Linked DNA regions of Cricetulus griseus. The protein of the gene in region 1 interacts with the protein of each later gene in a pairwise test. Links are inferred from orthologs where the notes say so. Each region holds a gene or a part of one and is shown on either strand. Other genes may lie near its edges. The genes, in order: Erbb3 and Ppm1b.

The links.
Region 2: the proteins of Erbb3 (region 1) and Ppm1b interact in a two-hybrid assay, tested with the Homo sapiens proteins (2 studies listed by BioGRID and IntAct, with this or other methods). The link is inferred for Cricetulus griseus from reciprocal best matches to the Homo sapiens genes ERBB3 and PPM1B.

Annotation. Positions count from the first base shown.
Region 1 is NW_023276806.1:129,330,507-129,334,326, reverse strand, and holds part of Erbb3 (receptor tyrosine-protein kinase erbB-3), read right to left. Parts: intron 3,297-3,820; coding exon 3,243-3,296; intron 1,259-3,242; coding exon 1,123-1,258; intron 198-1,122; coding exon 78-197; intron 1-77. UniProt on the Homo sapiens protein: Tyrosine-protein kinase that plays an essential role as cell surface receptor for neuregulins.
Region 2 is NC_048598.1:86,591,795-86,595,614, reverse strand, and holds part of Ppm1b (protein phosphatase 1B), read right to left. Parts: intron 1,582-3,820; 5' UTR 1,568-1,581; coding exon 722-1,567; intron 1-721.

The DNA.
Region 1 (3,820 bases):
TAATCTTTTGCCAAAATCCTTCTCCCATTTTTCTGACGTCTTCTCCCCGCTTCTCCAGGCTTCCGTGAGTCATTCACCTTGTGGACAGTTCCAAAGACACCAGAGCCCAGCACTTTAAGCTTCCTCAGCTCTGTCTCTTTGAAGATTCTAGCCAAGACTTTGTTTGCCTTCTCGCTGGGGTCCAGAGGCTCGATGCTCTGAGGAGCAAATAGGAAGGAGACACTTAGAAAAGCCTACTCCCACAAGCCCACTCCCACCTGCCCCCCACAGGTGGACGCCAAGGGCAGCAGAGCCCAGAGCTGAGGGCAGGAAGAAAGACAGTCTTTAGTCCTGGAAAGTAATGTAGTTTCATTGAGGAACAACAGGTCCTTCAAGGAACAACAGGACTGAGGAAACTGTGCTGATGAGAAGAACCCAGAGGTTTGCCGGGCAGTGGTGGTGCACGCCTTTAATCCCAGCACTTGGGAGGCAGAGGCAGGCAGATCTTGAGTTCGAAACCAGCCTGGTCTACAAGAGAAGAACCCAGAAGCTTGGTTTCCCTCTGAGCAGCATGAGGGGAGGAGATACAGTTGTACTCCAACTTGAAGACCTCTCACACAAGGCTGGTTCTTGTTGTTTATCCCTCTCTCCCCTCACTCTAAGATGAGGGCTTGCTGTATAGGTCAGACTGGCTTGCCCTGCCCCGGCCTTCTAAGTTCTGGAGTTACCACCATGTTCCAAAACATCTGTCGAGCAAGCTCTCCCCACACCACTCTAACCCATCAGCCCTTATATCTACCCATCAGACATAAACGATGAATATGAATGTTTATATCTAAGTTACATAAACTGAGGCACAGACAAGGAAAGCAGTTCCTTCAAAGTCATGGCAAATGGCAAGAGCAAGATGACAATACATGTTCCCACTTCTGGTGTGGACTGGTGTGTACATCTATGTACATGTGTGTTTCTGGGATTGGACAGGTCTTCGCATATGTTGAGCAAGCATCCATCACTCTACACTGTCCTCTTAAAGAAAGGGACTATATTCTAGGGAAAGAGAAGAGGAGTAGCATCCATGTCCTACCACTTACCCCAGGAGCAGATTGTAAGGGTGTCTCCCAAAGTCAAGCTAATACTTACCTCACCCCGTTCCAAGTAGCGCCTCATCGCTCTTTTATTCTGAATCCTACGTCCACGCCAATAGAGAAAAACGACTCCCAGAATCAGAAGAGCCACGGGCAGTCCGACCATCCCAGCCATTGCCAGATGGGTTTTGCTATGGGATATAGAAAAGACCAGCATCCTAAGTTTACAGCAGCTTCACAAATGTCACTTATATGGTATACATCTGAGTTAGCATTCACCTCTACAAATATCCATGAGCACTGAAGGAGTCAGCCTAAATATGAGACTTCTAAGCTAGTGTAAGCTAATTTTAGGAAGGGAATGCCGGAAGCCATGATTCTTGAGTCCAGTGATGGTGGAATATATATATATATATATATAAATTAAAGAATGACCCTAGTGGACGGTTCAGCTCGTGCACACGCGCGCGCACACACACATATGGGTTACACTAAATGGACTCAGGATTATTAATAGTGATAGTAAAAAGGAGGACAGGAAATCAGGAAGGGGACACGCTAAGGGCATTAGGGGGACCTAGTGGGAGATAATGGTGGATTGGTATGATCAAAATACATTATATAAATGTACTAAATTTCCAAAGAATAGGTAACAAAAAGGCCGGGCAGTGGTGGCGCATGCCTTTAATGTCAACACTCGGGAGGCAGAGGCAGGCGGATCTCTTGAGTTCGAGACCAGCCTGGTCTACAAGAGCTAGTTCCAGGACAGCCTCCAAAGCCACAGCAAAACCCTGTCTGGAAAAACAAAAACAAAACAAAACAAAACAAAAAGAATAAGTAACAAATATTATTTAAAGGGTGGTAGTGAGGGGGGTTTAGAGAGATGGCTCAGAGGTTAGAAGCACTGGCCGATCCTGCAGAGGACCTGGGTTCAGTTCCCAACACCCAAATGGTGGTTCACAACCACCTTTAATTCCAGTTCCAGGGGATCTGACAACCTCTTCTGAGTCACACAAATACATGTAATTAAAAATAAAAAAGTTGAGCCCGGCTTTGGTGGCGCACACCTTTAATCCCAGCACTCGGGAGGCAGAAGCAGGTGGATCTCTGTGAGTTCGAGGCCAGCCTTGTCTCCAGAGCGAGTGCCAGGATAGGCTCCAAAGCTACACAGAGAAAACCTGTCTTGAAAAACCAATAAATAAATAAATAAATAAAATAAGACTTTATCTTAAAAAAAAAAAAAAAAGGCAGGGGTAGCAGGGAAGAGACTGGAAAGATGGTTCAGCTGTTAGGAGCACTTTCAGAGGACTCAGGTTTGGTTCCCAGAAGCTACATCATAGTTCATAACCATATATAACTCCGGATCCAGGGGACTCCAGTGCTATCTGCTGGCCTTCCCCAACACCAGGCCCACATGGTACACACACACACACCTTCAGGCATTACTCACACATATAAAAATAAAAAATAATTATTTTAAAAGGCAGATGTAGTGATACACACCTTTAATCCCAGTATTAGGGAGGCAGAGGCAGGTGGATCTCTGAGTTATAGGCCTGTCTGGTCTACATAACAAGTTTTGTGCCAGCCAGCACAAAAAGCAAAATCAACAAAAAATATAAAAAATAGCGGCTGGAGAGATGGCTCAGAGGTTAAGAGCACTGGTTGTTCTTTTCAGAGGTCCTGAGTTCAATTCCCAGCAACCACATGGTGGCTCACAACCATCTGTAATGAGATGTGGTGCCCTCTTCTGGCCTGCCAGCACACATGCAGGCAGAACACTGTATACAAAATAAATACATAAATCTTAAAATATATACATATAATAAGTTTTAAAACAAGGGCAGAATGGGACACTGGAGAGCATTGGCTGCCCTTGTGGAGGACCTGAGTTCGAGTCCCAGCACCTACTCGATGACTCACAAGCATCCATAATTCCAGTTCCAAGATATCCCATGCCCTCTTCTGGCATCCAAGGAGACTAGGCAAACAAGTCACGCAAAGATATACATGCAGATAAAACCATACACATAACATTTTTCAAAAGGCAGAATGAGTCAGGCAGTGGTGGTGCACACCTTTGATCCCAGCCCCCCCCCCCAAAAAAAAAGCAGAATGAATAGCAGTCTTTCTCCCAAATATTCCTGGGTTCCACAATCTCCAAGTTCATCTTACCTCATTAATGCCTCTGTTTGGCCTAAACAGTCTTGTAGTTCTGGTCCCTTACACCTAGAAAAGAAAACCACCTTATTAGTGGGTAGACAATAGAGGTTTGGGCCAACAAGGTGGCTCAGCAGTAAAGGTCCTTGCTGCCAAGCCTGAGGACCTGAGTTTGATCCCTGGAAACCATATAAGGGAAGGAGAGAGTCAACTTCCTTAAGTTGTCATTTGATCTCCATACACACACCATAGCACACATGCACACACTGTGCCCATATACACAATAAATATTTATAAAGTAATTGTTTTTACATGCAACTCCTATAAAAGTAATTTTTTAAAAGATTTTATTTATTATGTATGCAGTCTTCTGCCTGCATGCCGGCAGAGGGCACCAGATCTCATTCAAGGTGGTTGTGAGCCACCATGTGGTTGCTGGGAATTGAACTCAGGACCTCTGGAAGAACAGTCAGTGCTCTTAACCTCTGAGCCATCTCTCCAGCCCTAAAAGTAATTTTTTAAGAGACAATAGAGACTCAGGTCCAAGAACCTCTACATATAAAAGCTTCTTTCAGAACAAACCTATTGTGGCA
Region 2 (3,820 bases), on another chromosome or scaffold:
TTTAATGGAACAGCCAAATATCTGTAAATCTAGATTTCCTTTTTTTGCTATTTTTGCATAGAATTACAATTAAGACATTTTAAGAATTGCACAAGAAATTTTCCTAGGATCACATTTTCCGTAAGGCTTTAGACTTTTTAATCAGAGATAATAACTATCTGAAAGGAATTTCAATTACCTTCTATGTGGGTAGTGTACTAACCTTATACTGTTTACAGTTAGTGTAAACTTAGCTGATATCTTACTGACAAAAAGGAGACAACTCATTTGTTTCAGCTTTTGTCTTAGGTGCTATGAAGACAAGAATACAATTTTACTAGCTTGGCTTTTGGTGAATCTGTATTTTCTGTAACTCTTGATATTTTAATGTAAGTAACAGAATCCTACTACATACATGTTTTAAGCTGTTTCAAGTCATGAGTAAGATGGCTACTGATAACATCAAGGATGTAGATTAGAGGTCATCATTCTACACATTCAGAATTATCAAGAAGCCATAAAACAAGCTTAATAAATTTGAGATAATTGTTGTCACTTTTCAAATTAGAAGGGTGGGGCAGATAAAGTTGACAAAAAGGTTTAATTTTCTTGAAAGAAGTTTATGAAAATACACAATTCTCTACAGAAAATAGTAAGAGGTCTAAAATTTTAAGTTTACTTCAGTTTACTTACCATTTCTTTTAAATCAATAGTGTTAGTTGAAACAAAAAAGTTTACATACCTTATGTAAACAAGTGTCCACTACCCAATTGCACACATTCTCCAGGTCCTCAGCGACCTTAAGCCTAGACTTAACAAATTCACAGAGATCCTCATTACTCATCACATCCCAGATCCCATCACAAGCCAAAACGACAAATTCATCCTCTTCTGCTCTTAAAATCTCATACACCTCAGGCTCTGGAGAGACAAGCTGTTCTGTTGGGCCCTTGCCATCCACACACTTGTAGTCATAGTCCCCCAGAGCACGAGATACCGCTAATGAACCATTCACTCGCTGTATCATCACACTGCCTCCTGCATTTTGGATTCGCTCCTTTTCCATCGGATTACAAGGTTTGTGATCCCGGGTAGAAAAGCAGACTTCTCCATTCCTACACAGGACAGCTCGTGAGTCACCACAGTTGATAAAGTAGATATGTGTAGGTGAAATCAGAACGCCCACTGCCGTCGAACCGCTCCTGTCCATCCCATTTCTGAGGTCTGAAAAGTTACGCATATATTCATCAATTTCCAAAAAGCCAGTCCTGATACCAGTCTTAACATTTTCCACTGAGGGCTCAAGAGCAGAGCCTGGTGTGCCAGCTGCCCTGAAGTCTTCATTAGTAGTGATGTGTTCCAATAAATGCGCTGAGCAGTAATTTGCTACTCGGGATCCAGCATGACCATCATAAACTGCAAAAAATGACCAGTCTTCCAAGCCGTGAGGAATACCCACAACAGCTGTGTGCGCATCTTCCATTTCCACTCTCCATCCTTGCATGCTGCTCAGGCCGTATCGCAAACCATTCCCAGCACCATGAGCATTGTGTTTTTCCGTTTTGGGTTTATCCAAAAATGCACCCATGTTTAGTAATGAATCTGAAAGAGAAAATAAATGGTGTTCAATGTTTAAATTTGACATAGCTTATCTACAGTGCTCCATTTATTCTGGACCAACTCATCTCCTATATATTTTCCATATTAGCTGACTTGTGGGGTAACAACATTAGTTCCCTGACACTCTTCTTAATGGTTTCTTTATTTTTATTTTATGTGCACTGATTGGTGTTTCATCTGGGTGTATGTCTGGGTGAGGGCGTCAGAGCCTATAGAACTGGAGTTACAGAGCTACAGCAAATGTTCTTAAACACTGAGCCATCTCTCCAGCTCCTAAGACATTGCTATTTCCCCCCTCATATTTTTGCTTGTTTGAGACAGGGTTTCTCTGTATAACAGCTCTGGCTGTCCTGGAACTTGCTCTGTGGCCCAGGCTGGCCTAGAACTCATAGAGACCTGCTTGCCTCTGCCTCCTGAGTGCTGGGATAAAAGGAGTGCATCACCGATGACTGGCTAATACACTGATTTTAAACCCAGCACATGACAGAATCTAACCAATTAAATCAGAATCTCTGCAGGTAGATCAAGACATCAGTGGGTTTTTGTTGTTTGTCTGACTGTCTCTGTCACTCTGGAACTCGCTATGTAGACCAGGCTGGCATAGAATTCACAGAGAAAAATCCACTTGCCCCTGCCTACCGAGTGCTGGAATTAAAAGTGTGAACTACCATACACAGCCCGAAATCCCTGCACTGGGAAATAAAAGCAAGAGGATTAAGAGTTCAAGGCCACAAAGGAATTCCACAACAGCCACAGCTGTTACACAGAAAAAACAAATCTGGAAAAAACCAACCGAGTTCAAGGCCAGCTTGGGCTACAAGTCTACAAAAACTAAACAATGTTCAGCAGCCAACCAGAATTTCCTAGAGAAAACTGAGAAATACAATTCGGTAAGACTTTTTTTTTTTTTTTTAATTCAGCTGGGCACCTTAGATACTCCTGAAATCCCAGGCACTTATGAGGCTGAGGCAGAGAGAGCAAGAGTCCTCTCAAAACAAACCAACCAGCTCCCAAGCAAGCGCCCCCAAACCAGCTACTTACTGTTCCCTGAAGCAGTGACTTACAACCTGCCTTTGCCTCATAAGTACCGCCCCACCACAAATAATTTTTTTCATAAAGTCCAAACTGACCTTATTTTAAAGCTGGGTGTTACTGTAAGAATTTGCTTTTTAGCAGGGCAGTGGTGGCACACGCCTTTAATCCTAGCACTCGGGAGGCAGAGGCAGGCAGATCTCTGTTGAGTTTGAGACCAGTCTGATCTATAAGAGCTAGTTCCAGGACAGCCTCCAAAGCCACAGAGAAACCCTGTTTCAAAAACACAAAAACAAAAAAAATTGCCTTTTAAGAGCATTATAGAGCTCCACTATCACTTTCTGTATGATGAGCACACATGTGGCTTCCACCATAAAGTTTTTCCAGGCCAGGAAAGCTTTCTTTCTCATCCCAGAATCGTCATCCCAGAATCGTCTATCCAGAGTGGGCAAGACCTCTAGTTTGCAATTAGTGTTCCTTATAGTTCAACCATATTCTTGTACAACTTAGTTTTACACACTTCTCAAGTTAGTATGCTTTACTTCTGGGGAAGTACTTTCATTTTTCTGACCAAATCAATACTTGAATGATTGTAAAAAGTTTAAATGAACTTTTGAAAAGTGTACTAGGCATTGATACTTTAAGTGACAATTATTAGGACAAATTACAGATTTAGGCCAGGCGGTGATGGCACATGCCTTTAATCCCAGCACTTGGGAGGCAGAGGCAGGCACATCTCTGTGAGTTTGAGGCCAGCCTGGTCTAAAGAGCTAGTTCTAGGACAGCCAGGGCTACACACACACACACACACACACACACACACACACACACACACACACACACACACACACCCACCCACCAAAAAAAAAAAAAAAAAAAAAAAACCCTGACTTAAAAAACTGTTGGTTAAAAAAAGAAAAAGAAAAGAATATAATGCACCTGGAAAGATGGCTCCGCAGAGTTTTATTTCCAGAAACTATAGAACTCCAGTTCTAAGGGATCTAACACCCTTTTCTGGCCCCTGTCAGGACCAGGCACCCACGAAGCTACATGCATGCATGCAAGCAAGACACATAAAAGTCAATCAAACCTTTTCCAAACAAACAAACAAACAACAACAAAAACAAGCTGGCCTGGGAGGACACAAATAGGCAGAGAATATAAAGTTTCAGCCTCTTGCCTTGTTGAC